Linked DNA regions of Kluyveromyces lactis. The main gene of each other region encodes a partner of the protein of the gene in region 2 in a complex. Links are inferred from orthologs where the notes say so. Each region holds a gene or a part of one and is shown on either strand. Other genes may lie near its edges. The genes, in order: PDP3 and SAS3.

Evidence for each region.
Region 1: SAS3 (region 2) and PDP3 share a complex: the UniProt entries of both Saccharomyces cerevisiae proteins name them as parts of the nuA3 histone acetyltransferase (HAT) complex. The link is inferred for Kluyveromyces lactis from reciprocal best matches to the Saccharomyces cerevisiae genes SAS3 and PDP3.

What each region holds. Positions count from the first base shown.
Region 1 is NC_006038.1:945,303-959,387, reverse strand, and holds PDP3 (Pdp3p), read right to left. Parts: upstream 12,274-14,085; coding exon 11,260-12,273; downstream 1-11,259. Other genes in the region: KAR3 (Kar3p), read right to left, coding at 1-403; rRNA-processing protein RRP15, read left to right, coding at 984-1,745; PPT1 (protein serine/threonine phosphatase), read right to left, coding at 1,902-3,440; ribosome biosynthesis protein NOC4, read right to left, coding at 3,704-5,269; ASN1 (asparagine synthase (glutamine-hydrolyzing) 1), read left to right, coding at 6,553-8,277; AAA family ATPase VPS4, read left to right, coding at 8,758-10,050; KLLA0_B10824g (pyridoxal 5'-phosphate synthase), read right to left, coding at 10,208-10,795; BSP1 (Bsp1p), read right to left, coding at 12,954-14,085. UniProt on the Saccharomyces cerevisiae protein: Histone-binding component of the NuA3b histone acetyltransferase complex. Targets the NuA3b HAT complex via histone H3K36me3 to the coding regions of actively transcribed genes to coordinate transcription elongation.
Region 2 is NC_006041.1:1,766,266-1,784,840, forward strand, and holds SAS3 (histone acetyltransferase), read left to right. Parts: upstream 1-5,512; coding exon 5,513-7,711; downstream 7,712-18,575. Other genes in the region: PIN4 (Pin4p), read left to right, coding at 588-2,366; KLLA0_E19867g (uncharacterized protein), read left to right, coding at 2,958-3,329; KLLA0_E19889g (NAD(P)-dependent alcohol dehydrogenase), read left to right, coding at 3,796-4,896; KLLA0_E19933g (SANT/Myb-like DNA-binding domain-containing protein), read right to left, coding at 8,269-10,020; KLLA0_E19955g (3'-5'-exodeoxyribonuclease), read left to right, coding at 10,952-12,298; KLLA0_E19977g (PP2C family serine/threonine-protein phosphatase), read right to left, coding at 12,934-14,250; anthranilate synthase TRP2, read left to right, coding at 15,084-16,610; PTH2 (aminoacyl-tRNA hydrolase), read left to right, coding at 16,999-17,643; protein phosphatase regulator SHP1, read right to left, coding at 17,786-18,575. UniProt on the Saccharomyces cerevisiae protein: Catalytic component of the NuA3 histone acetyltransferase complex, that acetylates H3K14. The NuA3 HAT complex has 2 functionally distinct forms.

The DNA.
Region 1 (14,085 bases), on a different chromosome or scaffold from region 2:
TATTCAATTCATTCTGCTTTAACCCGATTTGTCGTACTTTCACTTGTTTCTCCTCTTTCAAATTGTTCATTTTGAACTCTACAGTTTCCACTTTGCTTTTCAACGAGTTCATCTCATCCTGTGCGGTATTCAACTTGATCTTTTTTCTGGACAACTCTTCTTGCAATCTATTCAGTTCTTTCAGGTTTTCTTTGTAAAAGAATGTCATATGAGTTGAGCTTCTATTTTCAGTACTGGGCGTGAGAGACCTTCTTCTGTTTATACTCTGTACATCTTCTGGATTCAATCTTATCGACTGCCTTGGTTTGTATTTTGGTGAACTTGAACCCTGCTGGGTTGGAGAAGGTATATTAGAACCGTCCTTCGATGAACATCTTTCTGGCGTTGACGGCGGTCCATTCATATTCCGTTTGATTATCAGCCAACCAGTTTAATTTAGTCAAACCCACTACCTTATTACACGTCTTTTCCAAAGCGGTACTGGTTTATATACGTTCTTCAATTGCTATGTCTCCTTTGGTGTTTCAAGATTGTTTTGTTTTCGGTTGATCTTATTATTTGTTTACATCTTTACTAGTATATGTGACATATTTCGAAACTGAACCGGCTTCAGTACACAACAAACCTTCTTTGGGTAGCTTGAACAAGTAGAGGAACCATTACAGATACACCACACTCCAATAAACCCAACAGTCGGGGAACCACAGGCTAGTAAGAGAGTTCAGCTTCAAGTTTCTTATGACGGCGGCTCCACCAACGTCAAATTTGCAGTGGTGTATGGGTGTGTTGATAGAATGTATTTCTTTTTGTTAGTGAACATGCCAAAAAAAATTTCAGTGAAGCACAACTCATCTCATCGCTTTCAAGACTGTATCTGGGCCTTTAGGATCCATCATTGAATTCACACTATCTCAATAGAAGGTTAACTTGCCGGTAGATTGTGCAGTGGACAGCTTTGTATTGTATAGCCGCCTGAAAATACTATGAGTAGCAAGGGTAAAGTGACAATACCTGTCACCAAAAAGAGCAAGTTGAATGACAAGTCTGCAAAGATCAGGGCTCAAACGAAAGTCAAAGAGAATGAAGTATCACAATTGGCTGATGAAGTAGATTCTGATGTGGATTCTGAAGGCAGTACAGGTTCCGAAATAGATAACGATGAAATGGATCTAAATGAAGTGTCGAGTGATGACGCCAGTGATGAAGACAGTGACGATGAAGATGTGGTGAACCAACCAGATGACGATGACTTCCCAAGAAAGAAGAAGTCTTCCAAATCCAAACACGATGATGGATCATCCACATTTTCCAGCGCGTTAACCAATATTTTATCATCGCATTTGAAAGCATACGACCGTAAAGATCCCATTATGGCTAGGAATAAGAAAGTTTTAAAGCAAAATGAAGCAGATAAGTTAGAGCAAAAGGCTAAGAGAGCTATACTCACAGAGAAGAAACAACTACTCAATAAGACTAGAAAGAAAGATATTATACCTGTTGTGGCTGCAGACGCAAACTCGGATGAAATTAGAGAAATTCTTGAGAAGGAACGTAAACTAAGAAAGATTGCCCAGAAAGGTGTTGTGAAGTTATTCAATGCAATTCTCTCTACTCAGGTTAAGACTGAAAAGGAAATCAATGACTCATTGGGTGGTGTGAAGAACCGTTCAGAGAGAAAAGAGTTGATAACGGAGGTTTCCAAGGAGAAGTTCTTTGATTTGGTGAAAACTGCTGGTGACAGTTGAAAAGAGGAAGTTCTATATGATAGAGGGAATCATCTGCATTTATTAAAGCGCAAAACTATGTACATATATAGGTAATCCCAAAGACTGTATAATAGACTAATAATATTATTAATTACAACTTTATCGAAAAAAGATCAGATCAGGTCAGATGAGGGATCAAAATCCTAACCCTCCATTTGAATATGCCATTGGTTTAATATCTGGATGTGGTGAAGCAGAGAAAGTTTCTATTACCAAGTCGCTGTCGATAGATGATTTCTTTTCAGATTTTGTGTTTGGAACAACATGAATGATTGCACCGAGGTTGCCACCGGCGTCACAGTAGTTAGGAGCACTGAAAACAGTGACCAATTGATTCTCATGCTCAAATTCGTAACCGCCTTGTCTAACTTCATGAGACCTGAAGATTCGCTTTAAATTATTCTGTTTCAAGAACTTTCTAGTAATGTCAGGCCCAAACGCATTACTTAAGCCACGAGGAGATGGTCCAAATCCATCCGGAGCCTGTGGATCCGCCCATAATAACTCCATAAATGTTCCCTCTCTTGGTGGTTGGTGGAATCTATCAATTTTCTTCATATCTTCTACAGTGGCAGAAGTATCACTTGGCAAACCACCATGCACGACCAGGTATGAACTATTGATGACAGTGGCTAATGGTAGAGATTCGAAGCTTTGTGAGAAAAGATCGAAAATGCGCTGGGAGTACTTGTATTTGCATTCGTCTTCAAACCCGTACACTTTATTCATGCTGTTGGTTTCATGATTACCTCTGTTCAAGTAAATGTTCTGTGGATACACGATTTTCAAAGAATAGAATAAAATGGCCACTTCACAAGACCATGATCCACGGTCTACGAAATCACCATTGAATAAATATACATTGGAGCCGCCTACTTTCCCATAACTTTTGAAGATGTTCAGAACATCATAAAATTGACCATGCGTGTCACCACATACAGAAATTCTTGTATCCGGCTTTTCTCTGTTATCAAGTTCAACAACACTGTTTTCTTGCTTGAACAAATAGTCTGCATGAGAAATGATCGCTGCAACGTAAGCCTTTGGAAGCTTTTTACCTTCTAGGAAAATCTCATTAATCATATAAGAAATGAATTCCTGGTTCATATTGTTAACTCTGACACCAGCATTGGCCCCAGAATCTGACTTCACTTGTTCGAATTCCAAGGTTTTACCATCATATTTGAGGAGATCGGCATTTGCATCGAATGAGCTGATATTTAAAGTTTGACATAAATCAACTTTAGAAGAGTCTCCACCGCTAATAGCTTTTTCAAAATTCTCCTTCTGTATGACTTTATCACAGATTGCTAATGCATTTTTTGCAGTGAGCTCGTTAGGCTTGAATTTCAACACAATGATCAAGTCCTTCCTTGCCTTTCTAAACTCTAGTAGCCCAATGTAAGACATAGCTCTGCGGTGATAGGCTTTCAAATTGTTATTATCCAATTCAATTGCACGTTTAGCATCGTCTAAAGAACTTTGGAAGTTATCCAACTTTAGGTTGGTGAACGCACGGTTTGAATATAGGATCGTATTCTCGGGATCATGCTCGATGGCTTTTGTATAATACTCAGCTGCCTTTGCGTACAGTTTCTCCTTCACGAACTTGTTACCTTCATTCTTCAGCTCTAAGGCTTTCTCTGGATTACAGGCTTTCACTTCCTCAGTCATTTATTCAATAGTAGTGGTAAAAAAGCAGCCAACTGGTATGGTATGTGCCTTTAAGTCCTCAAGACCGATAAACGGAGCCCATTTTAAAGTTTTTTCTGATGTGAGTCTTTCTCTTCTTGATGTTGACTTGTTGATTTTTTTCATCTCGATGTTTCAATATTACGGCGATGTGATGAGATGTAATGTGAAGAGATTTGCGAAAGTGAAAGAAAGTACTCAATTTGGAATTGAACTACTTAAGTTTTCTACTTGAAATTATGTATTTACCATTTTATGAAGGGTAGGAATGCTGAATCAGAACCTGATTCGAAAATTGTTTCAAACCTTTCGAATTCAAGAGCAGGTTGGATCTTCAGCTTTCTATTGGTTTCTGCTTGCAAAAGTGAATCGTAAGACCAATCTAAGAAATCTTCGATGTTGTAGCTTAACTTTTGGAAAGGTTGTTGGAAAATCTTCGCTAAAGTGGCTACGTTTGGATGGTAGTGATTCATTAGCGTTTCTAGCTCCCATACTGAGGAGGAAAGAGCATTTGTAAGTTCTGGATTGGTTTCTTCATTGTTGAATGGATCTAGATATTCTTGCCTTTTCTTTGAATCGCAGTCGATGTATTCTGGATCGTGTAATAGAATCATACATGTAGGATGCTTTCTGATTAGATTGTACACGAATGGTATTATAGAAACAATAGCACCTGGTGGTGCCGATACGGATAAACGTGCCAAACGTTTGATGAATGACGCTACCAGTTGTGCGGATAAATGTGTAGAAGATAGAAAGGTGTCCACTAATCTGAAAAATCTTGATCTGTACTTAACGTGCATTACTTCTGGAGTTAGAAGCTGATATAGTTTTGAGTAGAAATTTGGATATTCTAGGTTGTATTTTTTCATAAGTTCAAACAAACCATTTAATGAAAGGATTGAAACGATACCACCTTGGTTGTAAGAGTCGGTAAGGAAATCCATAAGCTTTGTTGGTTGATGGAACCATACTATAATTCTCTTGTGTAGCACTAAAAGCACAGTTTTATATTGGCTACTGGATAAGTTGGCTAAATTTAGACAGTGCAACCAATTTGTTTCGAGGTTGGATTTAAACTTAGCATCATTCTCGATGGCTTGTGGGGGCACAGATACGAATATTTCCAAGTCTGGTGATCCCTGAACATCGTTGTTGCATAAAGCCAACCATTTAGACATCAAAATTTCGTCAGATGTTTGGCCATCAAGTTCTGGTAACAACGATATCAGTTCTGATTGTGTGTAGAATTGAATATCGAAATTCTTCTTATAATAGGCTTCCACAAATAGATTAAACACGGGATTCTCGCTCTGACCATCTTTGAAACCGATATCACCTTCAAAGTTACAATGGAAAAGAGCCACTAGTAACGATCTTAAAGTCTTATTTGGAAAGAAAGGACTATTTGGTTTCGAAGCCCAATATATCGATTCATGGTGAAGCATTTTCATATATGAGTCCAAACAATCTAAACTCAACGAGTTAACTTCATGCAAAGATGTAATGATAGCCAATAACTTAACCTTATAATTTAAATATAGTTTCTTACACCATTCAAAGAATTTCTTTTCATTGGCATTGGATGCAAGATGAGGCATCAATTGACCACGCTCAAAAAGTTTGATGAAAATCTGACTCAAAGCAATGGTCATATAACGGTAATCATCTTCCAAATTGTGCAACAATTCGTTTTCCTTTAGAAGTTCATTGTACCCATGGATTAGGTTCACCAACGAGTTGTAATGTTTTCTATCATTGCCGGTGCTAATAGACTTCCAAACTTGCTTAATCTCTTCCTTCGAGAGCATCTTGGTTAATCGCTGTCTGAATCCTTGGGAAACTTTTATATGTGAATTCCAATTATTTATTGCGAGTAATCAAACAGATTATAACGGTGAGAATATCCTACCTTAACGTTTCCTATTCGACTTCATCTCATCTCATCTCATCTCATCTCATCTCTTGATTCCAAATTTTTCAGAGATTCTTGCAATGTAGAAGACAATTGAAAAGAAATTATTCTTATCACGTGATCGCATTTCCTAATAAACTAGCTATCAATGGCGACATTAAATATATAATTTAGAGTGGTAAACCATTCTGTTGTCAGTCAAGTCTTGCCTGCATCACCTTGAATACGCACACTGATGCTCGTTCCTTCAGGGGGTGCGTATCCTCCAGTTCACGGCAGCCTATGAGCCCTAACAGCATACAAATTTCAACGATTAGTATAAAATGATCTAGCCCGAATTTCATCATATATAAGAGAAAGATTTATGAACCAAGAAATTACAAGACACAATTGGTGATGTAGAAGAGATGTAACTTTGATAGGCTTTACTTGTATTACTCTTTTTGGGCTTAAATCCACATGACCTTCCAAGTTTTAAAAGAAGACGATGATACTATTTGCGCTTTTTTAATTCTTACAATTCTTTCGTGGATGGGAATTATTTTCTGTTCATGGTTTTAATGGAGAATGTGGTGCCCTCGCAAGCCTTATAATCTTGTTACATTCTTTGAATGATTTGGGACACTTTTTATAAAATTCTGATTCTTTTTGGGAAGGTCATCCCATGTATAGACTTGATGTGAGTTTGTGTGTTTGAGTCTTGCTTCTTGCTAATATGAATCGCCTTGTGCGATTCATTTCAAAAACTAAACTAACTGTAAACGTAAACGTAAATATTAGATAGAAAAAAATGCCGTGATACGATGGTATCGTGAATATGACAAGTCGGAGCGGGAACAAATGAATCAACTATGAATCAGAGTTAGAATCTGGCACCAATTTTCATTTTCACTTCGTTACTTTTCGTTTCTCTGCTGCTTTGTCATATTCTTTTGATATGCAATTGATACTGAGTCATTTTCAATATCTCGAAAGAAAAAAGAATACGGCGATTCAAGCTCTGGTGAAAAATTTTGGAAAAAGTATAAAGAATTGATGCTCATCACAAGAAAACTAATGCTCGCTTGTAATAAGAATTGTTTATATGTTTATGTTAGGATCTTTGTTTTGTATTAGTATTGGTTTTTTACTCGCTCTTATCAATTAGATATACAGAATAACGAAGTAACAGGACCCAAGATGTGTGGTATATTTGCTTCATTCAGAAACCCTGATGTTCAGGCTTACAAACCAAAAGCTTTACAATTATCCAAGAGAATCAGACACCGTGGTCCAGATTGGTCAGGTAACATTGTTAAGAACTCTACTATTCTAGTTCACGAAAGATTGGCTATTGTCGGATTGGACTCTGGTGCCCAACCAATCACTTCCGAAGATGGTTCTTACACTTTGGCCGTCAATGGTGAAATTTACAACCATATCATGTTGAGAGAAGAATGTGCAAGCTATCCATTCAAGACTTTGTCTGACTGTGAACCTATCATTCCATTATACGAAAAGTACGATATCGATGCTCCAAAACACTTGGATGGTATGTTCGCTTGGTGTTTGTACGATTCTAAGAAGGATCGTATCATCGCTGCCAGAGACCCAATCGGTATTACCACTCTTTACATGGGTAGATCCTCTGCTTCTCCAAAGTCTGTTTGGTTCTCCAGTGAACTGAAATGTTTGACCGATGACTGTGATGAAATCATTGCTTTCCCACCAGGTCACGTATACGACTCTGAAACTGACAAATTGACCAGATATTTCACTCCTGACTGGTTGGACGAATCCAGAATTCCAACCACCCCAGTTGACTTTAAGGCTGTTAGAGAAAGTTTGGAAAAGGCTGTTAGAAAGAGATTAATGGCTGAAGTTCCTTACGGTGTTCTATTGTCCGGTGGTTTGGATTCCTCTTTGATTGCTGCTATTGCCGCAAGAGAAACAGAAAAAACTAATGCCGAACTTGATCCAGTTGTTTATGACAGTGACCCACATCAATTGGCTGGGCTTGACGAACAAGGTCATCTACATGCTGCTGGCTGGTCTAGATTGCACTCATTCGCTGTTGGTTTGCCAAACGCTCCAGATTTACAAGCTGCTCGTAAGGTGGCTACATTCATCGGTTCTATCCATCACGAACATACTTTCACTTTACAGGAAGGTCTAGACGCTTTGGACGATGTTATCTACCACTTAGAAACTTACGATGTCACTACTATCCGTGCTTCCACCCCAATGTTCTTGCTTTCTCGTAAGATCAAGGCTCAAGGTGTTAAGATGGTTTTGTCCGGTGAAGGTTCCGATGAAATCTTTGGTGGTTATCTATACTTCGCACAAGCTCCATCAGCTGCTGAATTCCACGTCGAATCTGTCAAGAGAGTTAAGAACTTGCACTTGGCTGATTGTTTGCGTGCTAACAAATCTACCATGGCTTGGGGTCTAGAAGCTCGTGTTCCATTCTTGGACAGGGACTTCCTACAACTATGTATGAACATTGATCCAAACGACAAGATGATCAAACCAGCTGAAGGTAAGATCGAAAAATACATTCTAAGAAAGGCATTCGATACCACGGATGAACCAGATTTGAAACCATACTTACCAGAAGAAATCTTGTGGAGACAAAAGGAACAATTCTCCGACGGTGTCGGTTACTCTTGGATTGATGGTCTAAAGGATGCAGCTGAAAGCACTATCTCTGATGAACAATTCGCTCAACCAAAGGCTGAATGGGGTGACGATATTCCAACTACCAAGGAAGCCTACTGGTACAGATTGAAGTTCGATGCTTTGTTCCCACAAAAGACCGCTGCTTCCACTGTCATGAGATGGATTCCAAAGGCTGACTGGGGTTGTGCTGAAGATCCTTCCGGTAGATACGCCAAGATCCACGAACAACACGTTGATAAAAAATAAGATCACTCTACTAATGTCTCTGTTATAAAATCTTATAAATATGTACAGAATAATTAAATAGAATTAGTACTTCCTCGATACAAATATACTATTTTATTTAACGTTAATGGCAAAAAGATATTTAGTGTGAGACTCTTCTATTATATGACTGGGGCATCTCTCTCATAAGCAATCTAGGATCACGACTGCTAGTATCCGAAGAGTGCTGTAGATGAACATTTCATTAGACATTGTAATTAATCACGTGATTTGATAAAGCATAGTCAAATACATTTTCTTATGTTGATGTTCCCAAGTAATTGCAAAAAGCCTATTATAATAGAGATACGTACTGCCTTAAATGTGTGTCGACTGATACGTGACTCAGTTTACCCCTCTGTTCCTGCTCCATAGTGATTTCGAAATACCATAGCCATTCAAATTGTAGAACGGCTTCAAGATTACAATTTAGTGTTCACTACTCACAGCACTTACATTGATATGAGCACCGGTGATTTTTTAACAAAGGGAATTGATTTAATACAAAAAGCCATTGATTTAGACACAGCTACGCAATATGACGAGGCTTACACCGCATATTACAATGGATTAGACTATTTGATGCTAGCATTAAAGTATGAGAAGAACCCCAAATCTAAGGACTTAATTCGAGCAAAATTCACTGAGTATCTGAATCGTGCAGAACAATTAAAGGAGCATTTGGAAACAGAACAACAGAAGAAACAAGAAAAGCCAAAAAAGGCAGCCACTGCTTCTGGTTCAGGTGGCAATTCCAATACAGAGGACGATGCAGACGATAAAAAGCTAAGAGGAGCCTTATCAGGGGCGATCTTGACAGAAAAGCCTAACGTTAAATGGGAGGATATCGCTGGTTTAGAAGGTGCTAAAGAAGCATTGAAGGAAGCTGTGATTCTTCCAGTGAAATTCCCACATCTTTTTAAGGGTAAACGTAAGCCTACGACTGGAATCTTGTTATATGGTCCACCAGGTACTGGTAAATCCTATTTAGCGAAAGCTGTTGCCACAGAAGCCAACTCTACCTTTTTCAGCATAAGTTCCAGTGACTTGGTTTCGAAATGGATGGGTGAGTCAGAAAGATTGGTCAAACAACTATTTGCCATGGCAAGAGAGAACAAGCCGTCCATCATTTTTATCGATGAAGTCGATGCATTGACCGGGCAAAGAGGAGAGGGAGAGAGTGAAGCAAGCAGAAGAATAAAAACAGAACTTTTGGTTCAAATGAATGGTGTAGGTAATGATTCCAGTGGAGTCTTAGTTCTAGGAGCAACTAATATCCCATGGCAGTTGGATAGTGCTATTAGAAGAAGATTTGAGAGAAGAATATATATTCCCCTACCTGACCTTGCGAGCAGAACAAAAATGTTTGAGTTGAACGTTGGTGATACACCATGTAAATTAACAAAAGAAGATTACAGATCTCTAGGGGAGATGACAGATGGTTATTCAGGATCCGATATTGCCGTGGTTGTCAAGGACGCATTAATGGAACCTGTCAGAAAGATTCAAATGGCAACACATTTCAAGAATTCGTCGGATGATCCAGACGTACGGAAGCTAACACCATGTTCGCCAGGCGATCCAGAAGCCATTGAAATGTCATGGACAGATATTGATGCTGATGAACTTCAGGAGCCTGATTTAACTGTAAAAGATTTCCTAAAGGCTATACAAACGTCAAGACCAACAGTTAATGAAGAAGATATACACAAACAGGAAGAGTTCACCAAAGACTTTGGTCAAGAGGGAAATTAGTTCGAATTCCAGCAGCAATTAAAAGATAATAGTAATGATGTTTCAAAATGCTTTCATGGGCAATATAGATAAATAATCATATACATAGAACGTAACTGAGTCATAATCCTAGCTGATTTTAGCATTAGAACACGAAATAACCCTGATTAATAATCCTTCAGGTATAGTAGCTTGTTCTGTTTTCGCTATCAGATATCTTTGCATCCAATATCTTAACCTTGATGATCACGTTGTCATCACCTTTGATATAACAATTAGCATCTGGATTCACTCTTAGTAGTTGCTTTTCATAGTAGTCGGATTCTTCAGATGATGGATCAATAACTGTCGCTGTACCTGATAGCGTGGCTGACATTTGTGATAGTTCAGATTGATTCAACTCTTGCAAAAGGTTGAGCAACCTACTTGGTTGTTCTTCAGAATCATTAGAATCTGGCACTGGAGTATTGGATACACTTGTTTTCCTCAGAGATAGTTTTTTTGCTGTGACCCAGTCATGGATCAAAAGAGATACAGATGGGTTAGCAATAATATTCTTATACTTTTGAGTAGACTTTGATGTGGCAAAGATAACATAATGACTATTGGAGCCTTCTTCATGAAAGGCTTTATGAGGAAGCACATATGTGTAGTTCATCAATGAAACATTAGGAATGCAGTCTTTAGAAGCTGTGGCTAAATGAACATATTTGGATGTTTTAAGCAAAGATACTAAATGCTCTGGCAAATCAACGGTAGTGGACATAACAACTTGAAAGTTATTGAAGTAATACTTGGCGTATTTGATAAACAATAAAAATTTACAGGAAATATAATTAAAATATCGGTTCCCTAATGTGCTAGCTTATGGGAAAGATGTCTGATGTTTGTAATGAAGTGCACAATTTTGCTACCTTAAAGTCATTTTAAAGGTTTTGGCAATTTTGTTAATAATAACAATTGATGGGGAACAGAGCGATAAACGTAAATAATGATACATTATGATTGAAGGGTCCAAGAAAAGAAGGAATAGGTACGGTGAGGTAACTGGAGAGGTGGTAGGGATGAGATTATGTAGGTTAATGTGATAGATTTTACATGAGAATAATGTCAGAATTGAATTGAATTTGTTATAAAGCAGTAATGCATTGTTTGTGCTTTCCTTTTGAACGGTTCTTTTGTGCTCTTATTATGAATCGAAGATATTAAAAGTGACAGTTGTGATCCACTCTATGGGGATAGCGAACCCTTCAGTTTCAGTTTTTCCTTTTTGATCTTTTGAACATGAGGTGCCCACACTTCCAATATAGTGTTACAAGATTCGTGAAACTGTGATAATTCAGGCATACTAGAAATGACTTTTAATAGTTTATGCAATTTGGATACCCTAAGGGCTTCTAAATCAAAGAATTCCGGTGTTGATTTAGTATGTGATAGGATTTTCCTCATGAGTTTATCAGACTCGGCAAGATCTGCATCTGTTGGTGGGGTATCTCGTTGAACCAAACACTTCTGTAATTTGTTACGGAATATTTGAGCAATCTCTACCCTACGTGAGTAGTCAAGCTTACTGCGTTTCTTGGGAGGTTCTTCTGGTACGAATGAAGGAGATGTCGAGAGAGATTCTGATGAGCTTTCCCTCTTCTTCTTGAAATCTGAAACAGATGTTGCGACAGGTGTAGATACCGGTGAGTCTCTATTTTTGTTTCCACTACTGGGCGACTTTTTAGCTTTGGTACTTCCGTTACTGTTATTATTGGAGGTAGAATCCTCTGATTCGCTTTCATTTCTTCTTCTGCCCCGTCTTTTATCCGTAGATTTAGTGTCTTCCAGTTTTAACTCAATATTGGAAAGTAATGGGTCCTCTCCCATCTTAACTTCAGCGATAGTTTCCAAATCATCCGCTCTTCCCTCCGCTGTCAACCTGTCTTCGACAAACTCTTGCAAACTCGTATAGTCGGATGCAAACTGGTAAGCTTTCTTCAACTCTTTCGAAGACCTTTTGGGCGGCGATTTTATCCACGCTTCTATATTTTCCTCAGTAAGAAGTTTTAACTGTTTTGGTTTAGTCCAATAATAGGTAGAATCGTTAAAAAATGCCACAGCAACTTGACCAACGTTCTCCTTCGCCTTCAGCACACTCTTACTCAATATCCGTTGAGGAACAACTACAGCTGGCCATGGTTCGTAACTGCCCACGGTGCAAAGAACCAGGTCACCAGTAACTAAAAGCCCGTCTGTCATATTTTGCTTAAATAGATTGTGTATTCGGATTGGTAAAATCTGTAAGTATAATGGAAAGGAAACTAAAACCCTAAATGTCAGGGCGTAAAGATCAAATAGTAAACTCTGATATCTCTCTTTCTCAGTTTCTTGAGCACTCAATAGGTAAACACAAATAACGGTTTCGACAGAAAGAATGCTAAACGCTAGAATAGAAGCTTTAAAATCTTACGCTCTAACTTCGCACTGGCAACACAAATAGCAAAGGAAAGAAGAGGCCGTATAACAGAATTAACTTGACCTCCTTCCCTAAATGAACTGAGATGAAAACGAAAACAAAACTCTTAAGCTACCAGTAATCACTTTTCTCACACACAACACCACAGTAATAGCTGCGTGTGTTCTGACCAGTGAAAGACTGTTTGGACGAAATATGAATGGGAACTTCGGCAATCAAAATTCCATATCAACTGCTCAAGAAGCATATATTGAATATAATTTGAAATAATTGATTGTTTTGTTTTGGATAAAAAAAAAGCTTTAAGGTCGGAAAATGGAATAAGTAATTAGGAATTAAAGGCATACGTATTTAGAAGGGTAACTTTACAAGATCAATGAACGCACATTAGCAGTTGACGAATGCGTTTTTGCCGGATTGTGCAACTAGTTTGTGGTTCGAGTTAATATGAATAAGGAGGTATTTACAATTTAGTGACGTCTGTTGGGAGCTTACGTTTTGGACCCTTAGAACGTACCTTTGTTAGCATTTTCTTTGTCTTCGCATTCAATGCGTCAGATGATGAGTTTGCAGATGATGCAGTTGACGACGCCAATGCCGATAGAGAGGCCTGACTACTGTTGATTGTTTTAATCAGTTGCTTTTGGAACTTTGAGCCATGCTTTTGTAGGCTCTTTAATGATGAAGAGGATTTCTTTTCAATTTCCGATTCCGTTGAGGATCTCAAAAGAGCTTGCCTCTTTGCCATCGCTTCAGGTATTTCTTCTACAGAACTGATAGAAGAAGGAGGTTTGTTCAGTTTAGACTTGGCTTTAACTGCTTCTGGAGTGATATCACGACGAGATGGTGCTGTGTGGGTCTTACGTAGCGATTTTCTTACAGCGAAAAATTCGTTTTGTTCGTCATATTCGTCATCGTCATCATCATTGCTGTTGTAAGCATCGTCATCAGATGGTAACGAAGGTCTTGATGATCTCACTTTAGGGTTTCTAAGTTCAGATTTTTTTGCAGGTTTCTTTGGTGCAACTTTACCGTTCTTTTTACCGTTGCATTTGGACTCTTCGTCGGTGGTACCCTGAGACAATCTAATTTTTTGGAAAACCTCGGAGAATTCGTCCACTGGATCAGTGTCGATGATGTTGTACTTGGCGGTAGAAGCCTTGCTAGAGTCCTTGCTAGAGTCCTTGCTAGAATTTCTTTTCTTTGGTGGAGGCGGAACTGCCTTTTTCGCCTTTCTTTGTGCAGCAACCGTTTCGGCGATATCATCGTGATCCTTGAAATTCCTGGAAGAGAAGACAGGTCCGGATTCGTTTAAATCGATCTCGTCATCGGATTCATCTTCAAACGATTTTTTGACCTTCCCATTCTTTGCACTCTTCTTTTTCTTTTTATCGGAGTCACCTCCAATTCTCACTGACAACGGTTTGTTACCATTGAATTCAGTGCCATCATCGTCGCTGATGTCCACGTCCGAGTGACGATCATAGCCGCGGTAACGTCCAGGACGTTCAGGCTCATTCAGAGTTCCGTTAATCACTTTAGGGTTTGGTTTTGGTTTCGGTTTTGGTTTCGGGTTTTTTCCGGAATTTTTTTGG
Region 2 (18,575 bases):
CGCATTGCAGCTCTCTCATGTTCTAAAGCACAACCTTGGTTCCAACCTCGAAATGTGTCACCTCCCACCAATCTTATTCGATGTAAACCCAGTACTGGCAGCTTTTTCAAATTTTGCAGTTTCTAGGCAGAAAGAAATTTTAAGAAAAGTTTTAAAAATGAGAAAACACGATATATGTTTTTTGTTTTGCGAGAACTGAACAAAGGGGGTCGAAAGGCTGAGTCCTTAACAGCTGATATCAGAACTATCTGGAAGTAAAATTTTGCGTACAAGTATTACAAGTATTGACTTTTTACTTATATCAGTGGAAAGATTCAGTTTTTCAGGTAAATTTCCCGCTTTTATCAGGAAAAAGTGAGACATTACAATAAGCATTTGTTTCTAAAATAGACGTGTTGCACCTGCTGTTCATCGGTTTTTTAAGAGCTACGAAACGCATATCAATTTTTTTGTCGTCCCATCTAATACCTTCTTTAAGGCCTGTGCTGTGTGCATAACTTGCATTCTTACGATTTACCGTTTCCCGTTAACTGACTCTGCGGTTTTAGAACAATTTTACTCAAAGAACTATACGATTCATTTAGCTAATGTCAGACGATCAGATTCAAGATTCCAGCGTAGAGAATGAGGAGTTCTCCAACTCTTCTCCAAATTCAAATAATGTTTCTGCCAATATTGCTGAAGAACTTATCCCTACCGCTATTGTGATTAAAAACATCCCTTTTGCCATCAAGAAGGAACAACTTTTGGAAGTTATCGCCAAGATGGATCTACCACTGCCTTATGCTTTCAACTACCATTTTGATAACGGTGTGTTTAGAGGGTTGGCCTTTGCGAACTTCACTACTACGGAAGAAACTACAACGGTTGTTCAAAGCTTGAACGGCAAGGAGATCGGTGGAAGGAAATTAAGAGTGGAATACAAGAAGATGTTGCCACAAGCAGAAAGGGAGCGTATCGAACGTGAAAAGCGTGAGAAGCGAGGGCAATTGGAAGAACAACACAGATCGATGAGCAATATCTCGTTGCAATCCCTAGGTGCCACGCCTTCCTCGGCACCACCAGGTGGCCCTTCAATGGCCTCGAACAACTCCTCTTCTCAGTTGTTCAACTCATTCATGAATGCAGACTCTGCAGCTCCTGGTTCTGTCTCAATGGGCACTGTTCCTCCAAGTCCTCAACCGTCTATTCACCATCATCATTCCCAACTTTCTGCTCAAAACACTGCAGCATCTATGTCAATGCTGTCAATGCAAGGGCTTCCTCAAATGTCCGAGAGATTCTATGCTCCATTACCAGCAGCTGCCAACCTCGTGTTGCCACCTCAGCAGCTAGATTTCAATGACCCTGACACACTTGAGATTTACAGTCAGTTGCTTTTGTTCAAAGATAGAGAAAAGAGATATTACGAATTGGCTTACCCTATCGGTGTATCAGCCAATCACAAAAGGGTTATTAACGTACTATGTTCATTCTTGGGTCTTATTGAAGTCTATGATCCAAGTTTTATAATAATCAGACGTAAGAGCCTGGACCATGCCACTTTACAAACCCATCTGCAACAACAAGGCCAAATGGACATGATGCAACCTTTACAACCTTCATCAACCGGTGGTTCCATTTCCAGATCTCAATCTTACACCAGTTTACTCCAAGCACATGCATCGATGAGTCATGGAATACTTTCACAACCCAACGCTTCTAAAAACTTGGGAAACTTACAAGGCACATCTACTCAATCAGCTGGACCTGTATCTAATGCTTCTACTACAGCTACTACGGGCAGTAACTCCACTGCAAACCAACCACCATCCCCAGGTCAACCTTTAATGCAGACATCTTCCTCTCTTCATCAGGATAATGGTGCTAGTTTGAGGAACCAAGTCACAACACCATCCATAATGCAGAACAGAATACCATCTGGTTTCCAAACAAATACTCAGCAACACATGACTTCTTCTAGTCTGTTAAGGAACCAGGGTATTTCTCCCCCGCAACAACAGATTGGCATAAATCAATCTAACACTGTGCGGGTTCCTTCTTTATACCAGTCACAACCAGGCACACCAGGCATCAACGAAAACAGATTTGCGCAATTAACTTCTGCTCAATTGCAACAGCAACAATCTCAACAACAACAACAACCTCTAGCACCGCAGCATACTTCAGAGTCCATTCATTCCAACTACAGTGTTCATTCTATCCACGACTATGTTCCTGGTTCTAACAACCAAGGTTACCAATCGGGCTCTATATCAGCTAGTGGTGACATGCTGGATGATGGTTTGACCAGAAGTTTAAGTGGATTGGATCTAGGAAAGAGACATGGAACTTCGGCTACTAACAGTAATAATCTATGGAGCTGAGTTTTTCTACTGTTTTACCTGTCTCGACTTTACTTAATACACTCTCACAACTTCCGTAAACACCCTTAATGTTACCAAAGTTTAAAGCGATGACAATAATGATTACGATAATTAATATGAAGCCTCCCCCTCTAAAAAATAAAAATCACTTGACGATAACGGACGGTAATACCCAAATTATTACCACACACTATAAACTTAATACTGTTATACACATACACATTGACTCCGATCTATCTTTCGTTCCACTCCTCCCAATTTTCCTTATTACATGAACTGTTCTTAAACAACCCAAAACCTGAGTCAATTTCTTCTCGCAATCTGATTCAATGTAACTACTATCCATCCTTCACCTTCTTTCAAAAGTCGATGAGTAACGAACACTAATTAATGTACTTGTACGATCTATATAATCTTTACTAATCTATCACACACTATTTGATATGCTATTTGGCACTTGGCTAAATGTAAATACGTTTCAAACAAGAGAAGCGGATGATTTATGAGGCAAGAATAGGCACGAGTGCATTTGGCTGCTGGAGAAAAAGATAAACGCCGCCACATCGAAACATCATACAGATAACTCATCATATGGAGGAGTACCAAGGTCTGGCAGTTTCCGTTAATACGACTGAAACAATGGTGAACTGTTCGAAGCTCTCTGTGGACGAAGAAGAAAAGAAAACCAGAAAGAATTTCGGTGCATTCAAACCAAGCTATGCAAGAAATGTGGTGTTTCTAGTGGAAAAGCCAATTTTCTTTGCTGACAAAGAAACGCAGCATTTACGTGTTTACTGGCAGTTCCTGAAATACGCCCTTTTCTTTTATCACTCGAGGTGCAACTGGAAATGCAATTTCAGTTTGCCGTTCAGCAATAGGAAGATTCCATACAAATTCGTAAAAACTTTACTGAAAAAAAGAAAAAGCCTGGCTCTGATTAATAATCGCTATGAAGCTCAATAATCATGTTTCGAATGTCAAGTTCTCTGAAGAGCAAACAAGTGTCCAGTTTAACGGCGTGTATGGTTGTTCGTAATTACGTATGAGGGCGTGGCTGTACTTTGGTTTCTCCAAATGGTGGTCTAGTAGCTACATAGAAACAAATATTATCCTTACTAAAGTAACAGAACAGAACAGAATAATGATGGTTTACAAATCCAATCTTTCATATAACGAACTAAAGGAGAAAACTGGGAGCATACAGTAGTTAGTACATAGCAACACGCACACACACTCGCATATATACACTTCTCTGTCTCAACTGATCGATTGTCGAAAAAGTATAAAAGAAGCACGGTCACCACACTCTTTCAGAAAAGTTCCCTCGGACAATAATCCTCTCATCGGATCAAACTATCCATCTCTATACCAAACAAACATCAACAGGTAAAAGCAGAAACATAACCAATAGGAAAAATAAAAAGAAGCAATGTCGTACCCAGATAATTTTGAAGGTTTTGCAGTAGTCGATAGCCACAAAAAATGGTTAAGTCCAGAAAAGGTTGTATACCCTGCCAAGCAATTTAATCCAAGAGATGTTGACATTGAAATTGAGGCATGTGGTGTTTGCGGTAGTGATGTTCACTGTGCCAAGGGTAATTGGGGTGAAATGAAGTTGCCGTTGGTTGTTGGGCATGAAATCATTGGTAAAGTGGTTAGACTTGGTGATAAGTGTGATACCGGTTTGAAGGTTGGTGACCGTGTTGGTGTTGGTGCACAAGTCAGTGCTTGTTTGGACTGTAACCGTTGTAACAATGACAACGAACAATACTGTCCAAAATTCGTTACCACTTACTCTCAACCATACTTTGAAGATGGTTATGTTGGTCAAGGTGGTTACGCATCTCACATCAGAGTCCACGAACATTTCGTGATTCCAATCCCAGAATCTTTAGAAACCAACAATGTTGCACCATTGCTATGTGGTGGTGCCACTGTGTATTCTCCATTGAAGAGAAATGGATGTGGCCCAGGTAAGAAAGTCGGTATCGTTGGTATCGGAGGTATTGGTCACATGGGTATTCTATTAGCCAAAGCCATGGGTGCCGAAGTGTACGCCATCTCTAGATCCCATGCCAAGGAGGAAACATCCAAGCAATTGGGTGCAGACCATTACATTGCCACTGAAGATGAAGGTTGGGAAACCAAGTATTTCGATACATTGGATTTCATGGTTCTATGTGGTAACTCATTGTCGGCCGTTGATTTCGGCAAGCTACCAAAGATTTTGAAAGCTCAAGGTGTTATTGCATCCATTTCTGTCCCTGATCAGCATGAAGCCATACATTTACATCCAGCGCAACTTCTAGGATTCCAGATTACTCAATCTTGTCTAGCATCTCGTGCAGAAATCATTGAAATGTTGAACTTGGTGGCTGAAAAGAAGATCAAACTATGGGTTGAAACGGTTCCAATCAGTGAGGAAAATATCTCCACAGTGTTCAAAAGAATGGAAAGCGGTGATGTTCGTTTCAGATTCACACTAACTGACTTTGATAAACAGTTTGACCAATTCAAAGCCAAGAAATAGGCGTTGAACTGTATAAATTATATAGATGGTTGACACGTTGTTCATAGCTTAAGTCACTTATATATACATACTATGACATAAACGTCAAAATGGAAACACACATAAAATACAACCTACAATTTATACACATTGCAAGGAACGGCTTTCATAAACACCAGAGGACGGTAAGGGTACAGTAAAGTGCATGAAATGCAGTCACTGTAGCCAAGGTTACCTTTCCAGTAACCGAAAATTTCTCGAAGAAGAGCAACAAGATCATGGGAAATATTTGCTAACTGAGCTGGTATGAAAGATACAAAAAAATACAGATATCACGTGACCATCAAGAAACCGAAATTTTTGATGCAGCAGTAACATGGATCTGTATTGTTTTGCTTCATTTCATAGGAGAAAGAATGATATAGGCAACCGGTTTTTGTAAATGTAAGACCTAGATTGCTTGCTGTTAGTTTCGTTTACTATAACTCGGACTTTGTGAGTTCTTGTGAGAATGTGTTTTTAGAATAGACATTCTTCTCTTCTAAAACTAGTAAAGGTACTATCCTCTCTATTTGTTTACCTTATATTGAAAGAAGAAATAATAATTCATCAAGTGGCAGTCATCGCATATTTAAGAATGACGACTTCTAAGCGAAATAGACTGCTGAAGGAACTTCTGATTGATGATAATATACATTCCAAAGTACAGGCTGATTTATGGGACGCTGGAGATGGTGGAGTACGACGGAAACGCACCAGAGATAGACATGACAAGTCGTCGGATCATATAGGCTATAACGGTGCTGATGATTCTGGGGTGCAACCGGAGAAGAATAAGGACAAGAAACTTAAAACGATTGTTATACCATCTGATTGGAATGAGATGAACAGCCATGTGCAATTTTCAGACGATCGTAGAATTATTACTATCAGGTATAATCCGTTGAAGTTGCTTGATTTCAATCAAGTGTTGAACAGAGGCAGCGATCTCGACGTAAAAGTACCGTCAATTCCGCTAAATGGCATTGACTTTGAGATATATGAAACTGAAAATTTGTTAACATCTCTTGATAACGATGCTCAGTTCCCTTATCGTGGCGCAATTGAAAATAAGCAGGATTATACAACTCATAGGACCATTCCTCGTGTCAAAGATAGAGAGTTTTTTCTAACTTTGCTGCGTAAGTCCCAAACAGCAGCTCGTTTCAATGGTAACACACTCCTGGCATTTCCAAATGATGAAGCTCATAATCAAGATAAGAAACGGTTAAAGCCAACAGCTTTGATGCATTCTGCGAAGACAACCAACGTGGAATATGTTTATTTCCAAAATTATGAGATCAAAACTTGGTATAAGGCTCCCTACCCTGAAGAGTATAACAAGAACGAAATTATCTATATTTGCGACAAGTGTTTGAAATATATGAGTTCAAAGTATGTCTATTATAGGCATCAGTTGAAATGTGATTATATCCACCCGCCAGGAAACCAAATTTATAGAGATATGGACCAAGGGTTCGCCATTTGGGAAGTAGACGGAAGAGAGAACGTTATTTATTGTCAGAATTTATGTTTACTAGCGAAACTTTTTTTAAATTCGAAAACTTTGTATTATGACGTGGAACCCTTTATGTTTTACACCATAACAGTATGGGAGGACGAAGAATGGAAATTTGTTGGATATTTTTCTAAGGAAAAGCTAAACTCAACTGGTTATAACCTAAGTTGTATTCTTACTTTACCACATTTTCAAAGGCGCGGTATCGGACATCTACTGATGGACTTTTCATATCTCTTATCAAGAAGGGAATTTAAACTAGGCACTCCCGAGAAACCTTTGAGTGATCTTGGTTTGGTATCTTATCGAATATACTGGAAAAATAAGATGGTGCAAACGCTTAATATGTTATTTGAAGAACTGGGTGATTCATTCGCTTGTACCATAGACGACTTGTCCAATCTAACCGGTATGAATCATTCGGATGTGATATTCGGCCTGGAACAGATTGGATGTCTATACAAATACAACGATGAAGCCTCAGGTAAATGCAAATATGCAGTGAAAGTAGAAGATTGGGATATCTTGTGTCAGTTATTTGAACAGTCTAGAGCGAAAATGAAATATACTTTGGACCCTTCCAGATTTGTTTGGAAGCATGTCATTTTCGGTCCTTCGTGTGGAATCAATGCCGTTGGAACCATGGTAGAAACAAATGTTAGCCAGCAAAGAATTACGTCTGCCGCTGGTTCAACAGCTGCTGATCCATTCAAACAAAGTATATCTGTTCTAACGAATTTTATGAGTGACGATTTGGCGGATCCAAGAACGATGGAAGAAGCTGCAATGGAAAAGATTAAGCAACAAACTATTCCTGTATCCTTGTCTGATAAATCTTTAGTTCGAGCATATACACTTCCAAGCAATATCAAGGAAAAAATCATTAAGGCAAGCAAAATAAAACCTGAATTCAAACAACTCAATACGAAGCTCGGGGGGACTATTCCAGCTCTCAATGAAGGTACACCTTCTGGCGATGCTTCTGATGCCAAAACACTGATCAGCGGAGGTATGCACGATGATATAAATGGCGATGAGCAAGAAATTGAGGAAGAGTTTGAAGAGGCAGACGGTTTAGAAGATGAAGGTTTCTCGCTAGATGATGCAGAAGCTGAGGAGTATTCAGATGATGATGAAGATGATGATCAAGTGCCACCGCCTCCAGAGGAAATAGCGACTCCTAGGGTCAGTAGATCTCTAAGAAAACTCAGACAGCACAATCCCGTAGAAAATGAAGTTCAGCAAAGACCACAGAGAGTCTTACGGAATAGAGTTTGAATATTAATTAAAGGATAACCTAATCATAGTAATGCGTGGCCATGACATGTGTTTATGAGAAGAAAACTGATAATAGTGTAATATCTAATATATGCATGTATATATGTATATGATTGTAAGAATAGCGAAAATTAATGCCATCATTGATATAGCAGTAAAATGTAAATAACAAAACAACGTAATAGTACGCACTTTTCATTTAAGTGTTTATGCAAAAGGAGCAGCCCGTGTCCCTTTGCTATAATAAACTGAATAGGGACATTATTATGACAAAAAATAACCATATGGTACAGTTCAAATGATTTGGCATAAAGATAACACTGTAACAGTATTATTGATGTTCTATTGTAGTTATAGTACTTGTACAATGGGGTCATAATCAGGAAAGTGTGTGCGTTTATGTGATAGTAAATCAACGACAATGATGATTGAAGTAGCAGCGACTGGCGCCACGATACACTTCGGGGTTCATGTTCATACATGTCTGAAAGTGGTTTGTAAAGTAGTTTTTTAAGTTTTTGGTTCTTGATAATGGTATTAATACAGACAGTTTATCATCAAACAATGTGCTTGAATATCGTATTCAAACTAGGCAGTGGCTGAGTTGGCACTTGCGGTAGTCGATGGTTTTGTGGTGGTTGAGGAGATTGCGATGAATTCGGAGTGAACTGGGGCGTTTGTTCATTACTAGCCTGTGTTTGAAGAATTTGCTTCGGTACGCTGGCAGGCATCCTATTGCCATAAAAAGATGAGTTGTTCACATCAGAAATAGTTGGAGAATGGTCTCTCAAGGAATGAGCGTCCGGTGAAAACACTGGCGATCTCTCACGAGCGGAAGAACCAGTCGAAGATGTTTGAGAAAACGTAGGAGATTCATCTCTTAGCTGAGTTGGGGCAATAGAGTCTTCCATGCGGCCAACAATCTCTACATCAACATCAACATCGTCAATGTCGTCATGCTCCTCTACGGCAGTATCTGGTGAGTAAGTAGAGTGGACCTCATCTGAAGAACTCGATTGATTAACATTGGCGGAAGGACTAGCAGTACTAACTGCATCGCTAGGCGTTATATGTAACGAATCCATTCTCCATTGGATCTCTTGTTCTGATCTATGAGGTAACAAGATTGAAAGCTCATCAATGGACAAGTGGTACCTTTGACGTTTTTCTACCAACAACTTATCCTCATCGCCAGACCAAGGTTTTGCAAAGCCATTGAATGATCCAACGGCACATACGGATGAAGGAGGGGGTTGAGAGCTTTGTTTTATGGGCATATCAATGAAACCTGCTTGCATAGACTCACGTCTAAACTGAGAGACAGAGTTCCTTCTAGACATAGATGGATTCGTCGTGAAGCTTTCTCTCCTTGGATTCGCGGAAGATGCGGGCAAAGTTGATGAAGGCATGACAACAACGGAAGATCTTCTAGAAGATCCGTTAGAAGACATTGGGATGAAATGCCTGTCGGATGCTACGTTGAAAGAGGAACGTCTGGAGCGCGAGGAGAAGGAATTTTTCCTTGATTTCGTACTGGCCAGGTTTGGCAAGTTCGATTGTGGAGTGTTATTCACAACGACCGCGGAACCACGTCTACTCTTGATGAAGACTTTTGGAATAAAACCAAAATTTTCCTCTTGATCATTGAAATGGGGCATATTTGGTGGGGCGTCCTGTGAATGAGAGGAAGACCTGGGCTTTATAAATTTCCCATGAGGAGCAGGAGAAGCAGTAGAGAACGGAGACTTGGACAACGATCCGGAATGTGCAAGTCCGTTTACCGATAGGACACTAGATCCAGCTGTAGCAGCAGATGACGAAAAAACACCCATGTTGCTATTGTTATTATTAGTAGCACTCCCACTACCATTCAACCCATGAGGTGACGAAAGAACGGCACTATTGGTAACTTTTGAGGTCGGAATTGGCATGGGCATGGGCATCGGTCCCGTAGAACTAGACTTCTTTGCCGTATTCTTCTTCGCCGTCGAAGAGGACCCAGTGTTTAAAGATTCCGCGCTCAACGTAGGTCCTGCAGAAACAGCCATTGGAGCAAGTACTGGAACAGTCACATTTAACAACTCATCCTCCTCCTCATCCTCCTCCTCTGGCGACTTCACCGTCTTTAAACTGCCAGATTTTAACCTTCTCCACCGAAATTGGCACGCGTTAGGAGTTCTATTCGTAAAATACTGAGCAATATCCTTCCATCCCAGTCTTTTCACCTCTTTCAAGTGTCGCAACAAGACATCGTCCTGAGGTTCCCACGAACTCGGAGTCCTACTGGAAACGTTTTTTGGTGCAGTCATCTACCCTTTCACTTAAAAATATTGTGAGTTATAATTGTAAAGTATCAGCAACCAAAACAAAATCCACTATTTAGAGCAGTAAAACCAAAATTCAGCTCAAAAATTTTCGAAATGTAATCAAAACGACAGTAACAGCTTTCTAATAGCTCTAATTCTCTAGCTCAAAGACCTGTTCTCATTAACACAACGAGAGGGAATAAAAATTTTGAACGGTCCAAAATAAAACCGACAGTAGTTTATGAACGATTTTTCTTTTTAAACAACAAAAAATCGCCTTAAATTCCTTCCAAAATCGGCTAACAATAAACTAACGTATTGACAGTTATGCTCTGAGTCGATATCACTGAGGTCAGACTGAGTACTGAACCAATAAAGACAGGTTTCTGCCTAGGAAACAAAGAGTGTCAAGTTAAATGACAAGACTCGATGAGGTCGAGTTTAGTGGCTTTTTCTTCGTCGCGATGAGTTGGAAAAAAAAAAAATTTCGAATTTTTTCAGTGTGACAGCGATGAGATGAGGTGACAGGTGAGATGAGAAGAGATGAGATGTGATGTGAGTATACTGAGTGAGGGTCCTGTATCTTACCGTTCACGTGTCTTTTTTTGTTTTTTTCGTCTGTGTACTTCTTGCAAATGGGGTTCCCCGGTTGGTTTGGGACTGGTGCGTTAGTCTACGCCTTCGGAAAGCTATTGCAGTAGTGTGTAGAATGTGTCAAAATAAGCTTATGGGAGGTAGGGGGATGCACTCCGGGAGGTGATAAGTGCGTTGGTAGGCCATTGGATAGGCTTCGGAAGATACCCATTACACGATATTTTTGGACATCGTGTGGCATGTACGGTCTGTGAATGTTTCCATGCGGACTTGAGTCACAGAGTGGAGCTTAACCTTACATCCGGGTAACACTCGAAAATTCTGTACAAGCCATCTCACGATGCGCAAGAGGATATGCAACTCATCCCACTTCAGAACGATAAAAGGACTTCCTGTTTGTTTGGCATATTTTCGGTTCATTATGGCCATTGTATATCACTGTGAAACAGCTTCTACACTGTATATGTCCAGAGCACTTCAGAAGATGACAGGTTTGAAACAGATAAGGTACTTTGACATTGGGTTCAATATCTCTGATCACATGTTCAAAGGGAAATACCATGGCAAGAAGCAGCACGAGACGGATTTATCCAATATATTGAACCGTTGTAGATTGACTAATGTGGATAAGCTGCTGATTACCGGATCTTCACTGGAAGAATCGAGACATTCCATTAAGCTTTGTAGTGAATTTGCAACTGAAAATGGACCAAAGATGATGTACACCATCGGGGTGCATCCGTGTCAGGTTAACGAATTCATGCCCAAACACTCAAAATCGTACCGGAAATCAGATTCAAGCGAGGATCTTCCGTTTGCAATTGAAAACCATCAGTTTACCAAAGCTAGATTGCACGAATTGTATGATTTGTGGAAACTCCAAGCAATGACCGATAACGAGCATTTCAGGGCCATTGGTGAAATTGGGTTGGATTATGATAGATTCCATTTCTCGGGACTGGAAATCCAAAAGTTCTTCTTCCTGGAACAATTGAAGTTAAGTTGCTTCTTCCCTGATAAACCGTTGTTCTTACACATGAGAAGCTGTGCTGATGATTTCTTGCACATCTTGAAATTATTCATCAATGGTTTCAACGATGATAAGGATTTATTTGGCTATAAATCGTGGATCGATCCAAGCGTACCAGATTCACCAATATTGAATACAGACGGCTCTGTAACTTATAAGTTCAGTGCTGCGAGGAAATTTGTCGTTCACTCTTTCACAGGATCAGTACAAGATATGGAAATATTACTGGATTGCTCCCAAAATTGCTATTTCAGCGTCAACGGCTGTTCAATGAGATCTGAGGAGAGCATTGAAATGATTAAATCACTTCCTGTTGATAAATTACTACTGGAAACAGACGCACCATGGTGCGACGTGAGAAGGACACATGCTTCATACAGATTTTTGAATCAAGATGCAGATCCCAAAATCGAAAATTGTTGGGATCATGGATTATCTGCTGCATACCCCACACTAGACCAATGGTTCAAATCTGTCAAGAAAGAGAAACTTCAAACAATCCCACGCGAACAATGGGATCTGTATATGGTGAAGTCTAGAAATGAGCCTTGTACAATGGGGCATGTGGCGACAGCAGTTGCTAATATCAAACAAATTCCATTGATCGATCTAGTTGACCAAGTATGGCATACTTCTTGTCTTGTTTACGAAGATTGAACTTGTCGCCTTCACACTCTATACTTCAAGGTTTCATCGAACCTATATTCAATAGAAAATTAAAGCGTGATTTATTAATGATAAAAAAGTAGAATATACATAGAGAAAAGTGAGGTTGAAAATAGCTGATAGAGATCTGAATTGCAACTGTCAAAGTTTTTACATGATATTCTGTTCTATCTTAGTCATTAGAGTTTGTCATGTTGTTTAGATTGTTGAGATATCGTTGTATTATTATTTTTTTTTACTTTAATGAAATATGAAAGGTTTTGCTGTATAACTCGTTGCCCTTCCAGGGGTCCCAGAATTATGTCGTAAGGCTGTATTTCTAATTGTAACAGTAATGGCACAACTTAGTGAATAATTGATTAGAATTCAAAATTGGATCGAATATATATTATCGGAATATATCAGGAGAATACGAGAAATAGAAAGGAAAAGATGATGAAAAGATAAAGATGAACAACATTGGATGCAAACACGTTAAAGTTGATAGTGTGTAATATTTTTGCAAGGAATAGTACCTGCACAGTGATTACAACTGCTCGCTTCCGTCTTGCCCTTTGTATCGAGAGTGGAAAATAAAAAAAATAAACGCACAAAGAATGAAATAATTAAAAAATGCAAATACGAGTTCAATCTTTTTTCACTTCAGATTCTTCAACTTCATCAGCATGAGTTGGTTCGTCTGCTTCATCTTCTTCATCGTCTTCATCTTCTTCTTCAATTTGTGACCTTATTCCACCACTTAACGACGCCAAAACTTCCGATAATGCAGTACCATGGATGTAAGATAAGTTGTTCTCGCCAGGCGTTATCTGAATTCCACCGGAACCAAGTATGGCCTCTAGGTTAGCGAGGCTAGATGCGCCTCTGTCAGCACCAACTTTTCTATCATCATTGTAATCAGTTTCATCAGATTCTCTCTTGTTTGTTACTTCAAAGACATGATCGTCATTTTCTGGGAAATCATAGAAATGGAACACAGCTCTTCTTTGGTTCTCGAAGGAGTTTGGTGGAGTGTAATTCTTTGCTACGATACGTTTATGCCAAGCAGTTTCGTCTTCGTCTTCTTTCAACAACGCTACAATGATAATACTCATGTTATCACAACCGATACCCGTTCCTTCAGTGGTTGGAGAACAACAAACGTCGATAATCTTGGAACTTATTTCTTCTAGAGTTAATCCTTGTTTTAACCCGTAATGCACCAAATCAACACAGTCCTGGGATGTTAGACAATCCCAGATACCGTCACATGCCAGTATAACAAATTCATCACTGTTGTAATCTATGGTGTGTTCAATCAAATCTGGTACACAGGTAACAATCTGTTCATGGGGAGCCAAATCTGGGTTGGATTTGAATTCAAAATCACCGATGGCACGAGACAAGGCCAAATTACCATTAACACGGTCCATTTCCACGAACCCATCAGCAGTGACGATTCTGGAATATTCAGACTTCAACGTAGGTTTATGATCGTACGATAACGCCTTAGCAATATGGTTTCTTGAAAGAACAGTTCTTGAATCCCCAGAGTTAGCACAAATCATTACATTTTGTAATTTAGAGATTAATAAAGTCGTTGCAGTGCATCCACTATGGTCGTTCGCTAACACGGGATCCTTCAAAAGCTCTTCATCTGTCGCAATAAAAGATTGAATAAGAGCCTCGTTGTAAGACTTCTTCTTGAAAGCATCCTGTTTTTGTAAAATCTTGGAGAACTGTGATCCACAGAACTGAGCAACGCTTGAACCACCATGTCCGTCAAACACACAGTAGTACGCCAAATGCTCCTTCTCATCATCAGAAATGTTCAAATCAACAATGTGAGAATCTTCCATAGACATACGCCATCCTTGCATAGCACATAACCCAAAAGCAGTCAAAACATCACTACCAGAATGTTGTTCCTTATCAATTACAGGATTAGACAAAATTTGACCCATTGTTTCTATTAAAAAAAGGCTTGTTATTAGTCTCTTCGTCCGTCCTTTCAACCAATAAAAAGGATGTGTCGACTGTATTGAAATTCTTGGAGAAACAAACTTCAATTAAACAGTACAGCAGCTTATTGTACCACCTTCTTCCAACCAATTGCTATCTTGATCCGCTGATATCTTTGAGGTGGCGAAATAAACAACTCTTCCTTTTAATATTTTCGTTTCAAAACAACAAAATTGCCGAAAACTTGTGACAAAGGTTTCACCAAATTCAACATCTGAGCAATGGAAAGAAGTGATATAGCAGGGACCCTACGGCTTTCATCTGGATTTGGGGGGACTTATCCAATCCATACTATCTGTGGACTGCTAAACAGCTTGAAATTGGGATTTCTAGCTGATCTTTGGCAATATTAGGACACAGTGTGCTGTATCTAGCGTTGGAATCACCAGATGTCCATCACGTGACTTCGTTCTCTCGGTTGTAGTCTCAATTACATAAAGCTTGTTCTTTCCCTTATAAGGACGGTTATTGCATCAGTGACTAAGTAGCTCGGTCATATGTATGTACTATTGAAGCATTGGAATTGACAGCTAACACCTGTCTGTGTACCATTTATCGTGTCTCTTTCACTTCATTATGACTCAATTTCATAGTATCCAGACTTTGGACATTGAAAAATTTAACAAGATGAGTTAAATGACTTGTCTATAAAACAGTGAGCATTGTGAAATATTTGGAGCAACCCACCATTGCAGTCCTAGATTTGAGTATATCTGGTTGTTATATTTAGGTAAAGAAGTGATTAGAGATATTCTTACAGAAATATACACTAAAAATGGCTTCTGATCATATTACTATTCAGCCATCAATTGAGGTGATTAAAGAATGCATCGCTGCTAATGATGATTCCATCAATATGTACCCAGTATACCACTTCATGCCAGCAATGGACCTTACACCTCATGTGGCGTATTTGAAAATGAGTGAGTTGAACAATAAGGAGAGGTCACCATCTTTTCTATTTGAATCCGCAAACGGTAACCAATTGAGTCGATACTCGTTTTTTGGTCATAGTCCACGTAAGATTATCAAGACTGGTCCTACTGAAGGTCAAGCGTGTGACCCATTGAATATTCTACAAGACGAATTGGCTCAGTATCGATTGGCTGAAAATGTTCCAGGCTTACCCAAGCTTTCTGGTGGTGCTATTGGTTATGTTTCTTACGACTGTGTTCAGTATTTTGAACCAAAGACGAAGAGACCATTGAAAGATGTGCTACAAGTACCAGAATCTGCTTTGATGCTATACGATACCATTGTTGCATTTGATCATGTTTTCCAAAGGTTCCAGATCATAACTAATATCAATGTGAAGACGGTCTCATCTTTGGAACAAGGTTACGAAGATGCATCTGAGATTATCAAACGCATTATCGCCATCTTGAAGGATGAATCTAGTCCGATACCATTACCTGAACAACCATCAATCAAATTGAACCAGACTTTCACATCAAACATTGGTCAAGAAGGATACGAACAGCACGTGAGAGATTTGAAAGAACATATCAAGAAGGGTGATATCATCCAATGTGTTCCATCTCAACGTGTCGCTAGACCAACTTCACTTCACCCATTCAATATCTACAAACACTTGCGTACTGTGAATCCCTCGCCATACTTATTCTATATCGATTATTTGGATTTCCAAATCATTGGTGCTTCACCTGAATTGTTATGCCAAGTTGATGCCAAAAACGAAGTTATCACTCATCCCATTGCTGGTACAGTCAGAAGGGGTCAGACTCCAGAAGAAGATGACAGATTAGCGGAAGAGTTGAGAAATTCTACTAAGGACAGAGCAGAACATGTGATGTTAGTTGATCTAGCCCGTAATGATGTGAACAGGGTCTGTGATCCAACCACCACTTCCGTGGATGAGTTACTTTCAGTGCAAAAGTTCTCTCACGTCCAACATCTTGTCTCTCAAGTCAGTGGTACACTAAGGAAGGATCAAAACAGATTTGATGCTCTAAGGTCTATTTTCCCTGCAGGAACAGTTTCTGGTGCTCCTAAGGTCAAGGCCATGGAATTGATCGGAGAACTGGAAGGTGAAAAACGGGGTGTTTACGCTGGTGCCGTTGGACACTGGTCATATGACGGAAAATCCATGGACACATGCATTGCCTTGAGAACAATGGTTTATAAAGACGGTATAGCCTATTTGCAAGCTGGTGGTGGTATCATATTTGATTCTGACCCATATGATGAGTACGTAGAAACAATGAACAAAATGAAAGCTAACCACAATACTATTCTACAAGCAGAGCAAATTTGGGCTGAGAAAGTTGGCACTCAAGACTAGCGCTGTATATGTCATATCCACTAATAGTTGAACCTGAACCTTTCCCGTTTCGTTCACAGTATGTATTCTATCGTGTATTCACATTAGACTTGTTATAGAATTGTAAAAAGGTAGCTTTAAGTGTACCATGGATGCACATATGAATGGATTAATGCCACTGGATAAATATACGAAAGGTAGGAGTAGGAATCTGGTGGTCTAAAGTACCAGCAGACGTCCTACTTCATACGTTTCTATCCAGCAGTTGCATATAATCTTTTCTTTAGGAAAATTTTACATTAAACCGATATATTCCAAGTGATGACAAGGAGATCACTGGCAGAGCATATTAAAGCAGAGGAAACTGACACTATCACTACAGCTACATCAAACCATAACTGCTATCCAGATGGCACCATCATCGTTGAATTTAGCAGTGTTGTTCACGCTGTCAGCATTATCTCTGACAACTGGATATTATCTTGGACAGATAACACCATCAAGGAAGGATGAGATACAAGAATTGTTGAAACAAGCGAAGATTAAGGCTGAGCGAGATGAGCAAGCGTATGCCAGTGAACATGACGATGGTGATGAGGACGAGGATGAAGACGAATCTGAGGATGAAGATGAAGATGAAGATGGCATTGCAGTAGATTCCATATGCCTAAATGACATTCCTGGTGAAGTAAGGATGGCCTTGGTTATCAGGCAAGATTTGGGAATGACTAAAGGGAAAATCGCTGCTCAATGTTGTCATGCTGCATTAGCCTGTTTTAGGCTTATTGCGTGTGATCCAAGTAGAACTTCATATAATCCGGAGATGACTCACAGATGGTTGGCAAGAGGTCAAGCAAAGATTACTTTAAAATGTCCAGATAAGGAAACAATGGATGAGCTCTTCGCTAAGGCTATTGCATTAGGAGTTAACTCATACGTTGTTCATGATGCTGGTAGAACACAAATTGCAGCGGGAAGTGCTACTGTTTTAGGTTTGGGACCTGCTCCGAAAGCAGTCCTTGACCAAATTACTGGTGATCTCAAGCTTTACTGATACTTCGATCTCTCAAATCGTTGGAATAATCATCGACTGCATAAACAACTCTATCCTGAAAATATAAGGATTTAGGTTGTCTCCGTATATTTAAACTTGTACATATGTAATAATCTTTGTAAAATTATACTATATTTAAGATTTATACCCATCTTTGGACCACCACTGCATTGCATAGGTCTTGATCTTTCAAAGTGGAGTCAAATTCGTCAATGGGTTTTACGGGAAATGCATGGCTTAGTGTAAATGGGCGCATTTCTGCTGTGTTAGCTTTAACATGCTGGTACAAGAATCTGATGGTATCTGTAGAGTTACAACGTAACACCTCCCTCTTCCCAGAAGCATATCTGATCTGTACACTAGTGTCTCCCTTTAGCTCGTCATCTGGCGATTTTTCTTTGATTTCAGTCCCTACTGGAGTAGATTCGGCAGGCGATGCTGATTGAGAGTTTACTGCATCACCAGGAATGGGTGAGCCCAATCTCTTACCTGTTCCTTGGAAGCCACTCACTTTTCTCTTAGGTGGAACGTAAGGCTCTTCCAACTTTTTATAGACCGTGACATCGACCTCTTGTCCGAATTCGACGTCCAATAACTGCAAAGGAGCTCTTCCTTGGTTTAGTTCTTTCAAATAGAAACTATTTTCTGGGTCGTCGTAACGATATAGTTTGCCATCACCGACTTGGAATCCATCTTTCCAAAACGTAATTTCCCTTGTCACTTTTTTAGGTTTTGATACGACCGGGGTATCATCCTCAACCACTGTTGGTGGAGCAGAAACATCGGATCCTAGCCTATAACCTTTACCAACAAAATGATGTTTCTTACTTTCTGCTTCCTCATTCTCTTCTTCCTCCTGTTCTGCTCTTTCACCGCCTCTGCGTGCCTTTTGTAAAAGATCCCTAATTAAAGAATTAGAGTCATTAGCGTGT